Linked DNA regions of Sus scrofa. The protein of the gene in region 1 purifies or fractionates together with the protein of each later gene. This does not show direct contact. Links are inferred from orthologs where the notes say so. Each region holds a gene or a part of one and is shown on either strand. Other genes may lie near its edges.

The links.
Region 2: the proteins of CLP1 (region 1) and TSEN15 purify together in Homo sapiens (affinity purification with mass spectrometry; 4 studies listed by BioGRID and IntAct, counting the BioPlex papers as one, with this or other methods). This does not show direct contact. The link is inferred for Sus scrofa from reciprocal best matches to the Homo sapiens genes CLP1 and TSEN15.

Annotation. Positions count from the first base shown.
Region 1 is NC_010444.4:13,282,341-13,286,633, forward strand, and holds the start of CLP1 (polyribonucleotide 5'-hydroxyl-kinase Clp1), read right to left. Parts: upstream 2,869-4,293; 5' UTR 2,722-2,868; intron 2,552-2,721; exon of another isoform or gene 2,482-2,551; intron 2,004-2,481; exon of another isoform or gene 1,984-2,003; 5' UTR 1,962-1,983; coding exon 1,356-1,961; intron 953-1,355; coding exon 281-952; 3' UTR 1-280. UniProt on the Homo sapiens protein: Polynucleotide kinase that can phosphorylate the 5'-hydroxyl groups of double-stranded RNA (dsRNA), single-stranded RNA (ssRNA), double-stranded DNA (dsDNA) and double-stranded DNA:RNA hybrids. dsRNA is phosphorylated more efficiently than dsDNA, and the RNA component of a DNA:RNA hybrid is phosphorylated more efficiently than the DNA component.
Region 2 is NC_010451.4:125,335,116-125,338,547, reverse strand, and holds the end of TSEN15 (tRNA-splicing endonuclease subunit Sen15), read right to left. Parts: intron 2,746-3,432; coding exon 2,604-2,745; intron 2,077-2,603; coding exon 2,056-2,076; coding exon of another isoform or gene 1,983-2,055; 3' UTR 696-1,982; downstream 1-695. UniProt on the Homo sapiens protein: Non-catalytic subunit of the tRNA-splicing endonuclease complex, a complex responsible for identification and cleavage of the splice sites in pre-tRNA. It cleaves pre-tRNA at the 5' and 3' splice sites to release the intron.

The DNA.
Region 1 (4,293 bases):
GCACAGTGAATGAAATGGGATTTTTCTGGAACTCAAAGAATTCAAAGTGACACCTTAGGTAATCTAAGAAACCAATTATATTCTTACAGTTTTCCTTTTGGTTCAAGATCAAAAGGGTTAGGTTATTATCACCTGTTTTAAGAGGTAGAATATATGCTTTCTGCTAGTCCATGACTTACTGGTCAGCCTGGTCTCAAGAGATTCCCACACTTCACCCATCTGCCTTTGTGATGGCCAGGAGATCTCTACGCCCCCAAGCAGCAAAGCTTCCTGCTGATCTCTACTTAAGATCCATGAACCGGATATCCATGATGAGAAGGAAGTTCTTAGGCAGGGGGCGGGGGGCTGGGGAGAGCACAGTAAACACTTGATGCTCCAGGTCCACACTGGTCACCACAATGAAGCCAGCCACACTGGTCTCAGAAAGGTTCTCCTCTGTGCCCTCGGCAGTGCTAACACTCAGGAGGTGGTGCACCATATCTCGGCCAGGAGTGACAGGGACCAGCTTGAGCTGATTGTCCTCCTGAGACATGCCCAAGGGCAAACAGGAGTCTGGGATGGTGGGTGCCCCGACTTTGTAGATTTTCACATCTGAAAATTTGACGTTAAAGGCGTGGGGATAGAAACAGCCCCGGAATCCGTAGAAATACTCACGGATTCGTTCATCCCTACATTCCCGCCGGAAGTCCTTGGAGCGCTCAACCACACCCCCTGATTTAGGGAGCAGCACAGTGCGTACGAAGTGAGGCAGGTCTCGTTTCAGCTCATTGTACAGTCGTTCTTGATCCAGGACCACAACGACATCCACCTCAAAAGCTGAGGCCGCATGCACCAGGGCCTGGTAACCAGAGCCCTTGACCCAGCCACAGGTGTTAATGACACAGCCACTCACAGAGGCCCTTCTGTTCACTTCACATCTTTGGTTGAACACATCTGCTAAGCGAGATGTAATCTGCAAAAGAAAGAAGCAAAGTGAGGAAAAAAAAACACCAAAAGAAACAAACCCAAGGCTATTTTATCTTTCTTTAGAACAAGTGGTATCAGGTATAAGAAAAATGACATTTTTCATGGCTGTGGTTTTGACCCCGTAACATGGATTTAATTTTTATTTTGCGTTGCTTCTTCTGTCTCCTCTGTTTCATGTCCGAAATGGAAATTTAATAAATTACTTAAGAATGGGTCCGCAGAAACGTTTAACAGTTTGAGATGGACTTATTTTCAAATTGTCTTTCCTAAAATCATGGAGCAATATACCAGCCGAGAGGGAGCAAAGAGTTTTAATTAGCAAACTTCTGCACAGTTTTCAACCCTGACAGCAGCCCTTCCCTCCACCCCACCTTGGCCCTGGCTCTGACCTTATTATAAAGCTTGATGTTGGTTCCAGGAGTGGTGGAACCAAAATGATACACCAAAGGAGCCTGGATGGAGAATCCCTCTTCAACATCTGCTGGCCGTTCAATGTAGAGGGCCCCCATGGTACCAGGGATGGACACAGAGCCCTGGCCTACATCCAGCTCCACGTAAGTGGGACGGCGGCCCAAGCGCACTGCATAGTTGAGCAGTAGACGGCACACTGTGGACTTGCCCACATCAGTGGGGCCCACTACCATCACCCGGGGACCTCGCTCTTCTTCCTTCTCTGCCTGCCTCCGCATCTGCTCCAAGGCAGTGTGAGTGTTGAGATAAAGCAACATAGGGGTGTCTTTGGAGACATAAGCCACCTCGGTGCGACCACTGAGCTGTAGCGAACAGCCATGCCAAGTGAAAACAGCCACCTTGGCACCAGCATCAAAGGTGAATTTCTTGTTTCGGGTCAGCTCTGTGCCAAAGATTTCTGCCATGCCAGCCAGCAGCTCCAGCTGAACTGACTGAGATGCCTCCACCTCAAAGCGAAGTTCTGTTTCTCGCTCGAGTTCAAATTTAGTTGTTGGCTTCTTGTCATCATTGGCCTCCTCTCCCATCTTTTCTGCGTAGTTGTTGTGCCTAGAACACAAATGTCAGATCTAAACATAAGTTAGGACTCAGTTCAAAATCCTTCACTGGCAGTTTCTCTTTACCCTGCTTTATTTTTCTCCTTATCTCTGATCACCATCCGCTTCACTATATATTTGTTTATTGTCTGTCTACCCTCACAAGAATGTAAGGGTTGGAACTCTAGTACCTAGGATGGGGCTAGACAACCCAAAGGCACCTCTATAAATACACCGAGGGAATAAATGACTCAGAAATAAAAAGAAAGCAGTCTCTACAGATTGACAGACTTGATTTCATCGCCTTCATCGCCCCCTTCACCACTCAACTGGGATATTCCAGAGTTGAAAAGGCAACAGATGGCCACTCCCTAAGCCTCTTAGTCAACAAGAAAGGCGTTAGTAATTCGATGTAAAGCAGAGAATATCGGTTTCCGGTTTCCGACTTAGAAAACAGAATTAAGGCCCTGCTCAGCAACTACTAGGTAGTGTCTTTAGAGAAATCAATCACCTCTTCCTCAGTTGTCAACTGGAGGCACTTCCCCTTCCACACACAAAGTTCTGGGGATTAACAGGGATTGCTGGAGGAGAAAAAAAGTTCGTGAACTAGAAAACGCCGAGGAAAAGCGAAGAATTATCTCTGATCCCAGACCGCAGCTCTAAATCCAGCGTTTGTCCTAGCCTCCCTAGACAGTGAAACCTGTCCACGCTCCAAGGAGGCGACGGTGCGTTCCTAAGCTTATTACCTTACCTGTACAGGCACGAACCCAACCTTGTAAATCAAAAAGCCCTCCTAGGCAGAAACTCAGACCAACTGCTAACCGCGCTCGCCTAGATCCACGCCGGAAACTTGGGCGTTTCCTTACTTGCGCAGTAGAGGAGATGTGGACGCGCGGTGCTCCCTGGGACATGTAGTCGTGCCAGAACCGCTGCGAGCGACCACCTGGCGCAGTCGCTGGGCCTTCTGGGACTTGTAGTTAAAGGATTGTTTTGATCGTGATGTCAGCGGTGGGCGGGGCGGCGGCCGCCGAAGTTCGCGTTTCCACGGGAGGGAAGGGGGTGGAGTGGCGGTTACGCCCCCGCGCGGGGCGGGGACTGGCGGAAGGGTCAATGGACACCAAAGCGCAGAGGATGCGGATGCTCACCGCTGTTCTCCGCTCAACTGCCCTCCGGGAAGGGGAAAGACGGAGGGAAGGGGACATTATTTAGGTCCCATGGTCGCCTGGAAGCGGGGAAATTAGGGAAACTCCATTTGGATACGAGAAAACCTAGGGGTAGAGAAAGTGGAGGAAAACAGCATAAACAGAGACCAACCCGGACCTGAACCGTCACCAATTAACTGATACAGTGCTTGGCCCCTAGGGGTCATTAAAAAAATGTTTTTTGAATAAAAGTGCAAGAATTCTTCCACTTACTCTGTAAGTCAGTCATTTCCCAACAACCTCTCATTTATTTTTGGCCCCACCCGTGGTGTGTGGAAATTTCTGGGCCAGGAATCAAATCCGCGGCACAGCAGTGACCAAAGCCGCTGCAGTGACAATGCCAGATCCTTAACCTGCTGCATTACAAGAAAATACCCACTCCTCTTATTGATCAAGGTGTTTTGTTGGGAACTCTGTTTCCCTCCCTAAATCCCTGGCAGTTATACAAGGTCAGTCATTTATCCAACAAACAACAGGTTGGGCAATGTCTGTACTCTTCTGATGAGCTTGGACTTGGAATCTTGTATTCTTTGCTATGCCGCTTGCTTACTGTGGGACTTTGGGCAAATCACGGGCTTAAACTTTCTAACACCTAGTTTCTTAATTGTAAAATATGGATAAAAACAATACCCAGCCAAAATTGTTTTATTTATCTTTTTGTCCTTTTAGGGCCGTACCAGTGGCATATGGAGGTTCCCAGGCTAGGGGTCTAATCAGAGCTACAGCTGCTGGCCTATACCACAGCCACAGCAACGCCAGATCCAAGCTGCGTCTGCCACCTACACCACAGCTCACGGCTGCGCTGCATCCTTAACCCACTAGGCAAGACCAGGGATCGAACCTACGACCTCACGATTCTTAGTCGGATTCATTTCCTCTGCATCAGGAGGGGAATTCCTTAGCTCTTAAGTTTTTATTAGAGGTTGAGGAGGGGGAGCTACAAAGATGCCATCCATTTGTAGTTTACATTTCACAAAACCCTTTCAGCTATCCTCTTTCACAGCCACCTGTCAAGTCAGCTCTACTCAATTTCAGGTGAGGGAGGAGACTAAGATAGATGAAGGGACTTGCCCAAGCTAGTTCTCAAACCCAAGACTTTGGAGTTTGAGTCCACTTATAAT
Region 2 (3,432 bases), on another chromosome or scaffold:
TATTATAGGATCCTTATATTTGCAATTTATCCAGTGGGGACACAGAAACACATATGGTTCTGACTTGGTGCAACTTTAAGCTTTCTAGGGAATGAGAGGGAGTCTGAAGGAGTTGCCAAGACCCTCCATCACAAAGAAAAGTGAAATTCAAATATCAAAGGAAAGGGGTCAGGAGATACTACAGACCAAGAATAATGCTTTATACCATTTTTTGATTTGCCTACTTTTGGCCACGTTTCTGTTCTTGTTATTATTGTTTTCTAGAGTAATTATTAGCCATGACTTGCTGCTAACCAACAGAATATGGTAAAGGTGAAAGGATGCACATGATTACATTACACACAATGATGAGGTCCGTCTTATTGAGGCTCTCTCCCTCCTGGCACTGAGCTGACAGCCGTTGTGCTGGCGAGGCCTAAACGGCAAAAAAGGGGTGGTTTCTTGACAACAGCCCACTAAACGAGGCTCTCAGCCCAAGGGCCCACAGAGAACAGAAAGCTGCTATCCACACGAGTGAGGAAGCAGACCTTTCCCCACGGAAGCCTCAGGTGAGACTATAGCCCTGGCCAACACCTTGGCTGCAGCCTTACAAAGGACCCACCTTTGAGATATAAAATGTGTGCTATTGTAAGCTGCTAAGTTTGTATTAACATTAGTAGGCAACAATAGGTAACTAACATAGACCTCAGGATACCTTTTTAATTTTAAAACATTTTTATTATAAAAGTAATACAAATAAAGAAAAACTGAGATATTCAAGAAAAACAAAGTCATCCATTTACTGCCCTGCCATCCTATTATAACCACAGTTCCTTTATTTTGTCATCTTTTTATTATATACTTGGTGTATTATGTACAGTCAGGATCATACCCATTCATTCGTTTTTTATCTTGGAGTTTTTTTTTTAAATAAGTATTTTCTCATGTTTTTTTTACTATACTCATTACTAATTTTTAATGGGTATATAACGTAACATTCATTCGCTATATATTCTTATTGACTATTTCCCCAGACCAGGGGTTGACAAACTATGGCCCTGCATTTGCAAATAAAATTTTACTGGAATACCCATATCCATGCATTTACATACTGTCTGTGGTTATTTCTGTTCTACAAAGAGCAGAGTTGAGAAGAGTTAAGAAGTTGTGAGAAAGCCTATATGGCCTGAAAAAACTTTCTGGTCCTTTCCAGAAAAAGTTTGCTGACCCTTGACTTAAACTTTTAAGTGGTTTATAATTTAGGCTATCATACACCCAAAAATGTCACTTGAAACATCTTGGTGCCTATAAGTTTTTCAACTTTAGGCAACTTAATTGGGAGGTATTAACAAGAGTGGAATAACTGGGTCTACTTGAGCAAGATATTTTCAAGGTTGACACTGCCCCCACTCCCTCTCTTAGTTACGATATAGTAAGGGTGGTGGTTATAAGAATGAAAAAAAGGCCCAATACTCTTGTAGGTAGCACTTCTCTGGTCCCATTAATCTGGATATGTAATTGTACACACTGGATGAGCATATAATTAGTTTTGATTCAAAGTCAACCACAGAGGGAAGTAACAATAATTGCAACATTAAAACCAACTGAAAGAAAATGTTTACTTCCTAATGGGGGTGAAAAAGCAGACTCAAGTAAATTCTCTAGGTGTCAAGGTGTATATAAATGTCATTCCAAGCTAGTGTAGTGGCCAAAAGGCACTGAAAGAGTTGAGTGGAGAGAAGAGATGCCAGTCTCAACAGTGAGCTAGCAGAGGCAGCAATAACAGAAGAAACCCATGTGCTCCATCCTTCTGAAAATAACTTGGGCATGAACGTGTATACAACTATAATTAACCTGTCTCCAGGCAAGAAAGGTTTACAGCATCTACTCTATATTATTAAACAAAATAAATTCTTCTATCTGGGAAAGTTTTATTCTTCAAAAAAAAAAAAAACTTCTGACTGAGATGGGACCAGCTAAGTCAACCCTGACTAACTCTGAGATTAAAGGTGAACCAGGCTGATGGGTCTCAATCCAATCTTGTACGAATAAAGCAAGCACTGGGAGGTAGAGGTGTCATCTTCTAAGGGAAATATTCTGCAACATAAAAAAAAAAAAAAAAAAAAAAAAAAAAAAAAGATCAGAATGGACCTTTTCCCCAACAGATAAAGTAATTTCAAAGCAAAACTAGAAAAATATTTGATGTGATTATCTCAATTTTGCCAACAATGTATGTAAAAAAACATACAAAATACATTTATTTATTCAAATGTTCCTGTCAAAATGTCAACCAATTTAACATTTCCTAAAGAAGCGTTCTTTCAGTTAAAACTATTATAAACCTTCACATTCCACCCCAATTATATTCATCAAATAATTAAATGTAGCATGACCTCACAAAGTATTCTGGAAAACTGTAACATTTTCTGTAGAATAAGGAAATAAAATTATTTTTGTGAAAACAGCTAGGACACATTACTTTCTGAGGTATGAAAAATCACTTTTTCTTGAATTTTCATATTGTAAAAGAAGTGACAGTTCTTGAAGAGCTTGATTCACACTTAAAAGCATGTCATCAGCTTCCTCTTTTTTCACTGTTTACTGACAGTTGTCTCAAAACTGACCTGAGGATCTGGCAGCATAAATCCATCAGTAAGTTTGTAATAAACTATGGTGGAATCAGACTCCACTATGGCCAGAGTAAAAGACATTGGCAAATCTGGATCACCTTGCAATTTTCGAGATGCCTTCAAGATCTCCCTTATCCTGAAAATAAAGTCACAATACACTTAGGATTCATGCTAACTCAATTAATAATAAGGTCAAAGGCTGTAAAATCTTAAGGAGGTAGGCAATAACATTACATCCATAATGCTGACCCAGGAAACGTCTGAAGGCTCAAATATAAACATTTAAAGTTGTCTTCTCAGAGTTCCTGTTGTGGCTCAATGGGTTAAGAATCCAACTGGTATCCATGAGGATGTGGGTTTGATCCCTGGCCTAGCTCAGGTGGGTTAAGGATCCCGCGCTGTCATGAGCTGCAGTGTAGGTCGTAGATGCGGCTTGGACCTGGTGTTGCTGTGGCTGTAGTGCAGGCTGCCAGCTACAGCTCCAATTCAACCCCTAGGCCAGGAACTTCCACATGCCACTGGTGGGGCCCTAAGAAAATAAAAAATAAAAAATAAAAAAGTTATCTTCTCATACATAAAGAATCCTCAAAATACGGGCTATATCTACTAACTTCCAGCTCTTCTCTTACGTATTTACCCATCCTTCCTGATCAGCATAACTGAGAGAATCAAAATTGTACTTAGAAACTTACAGAATAGGACACTAACAGCGTTCAGTGTATCTAAATTAGACAAAAATCTTGGTTATTCATTTTCCAATTTTCCAACTTGGTATCTTACAGTGGGACAATCTGGTATTTAGGTTGGTTTGTTTTTTTCAGTG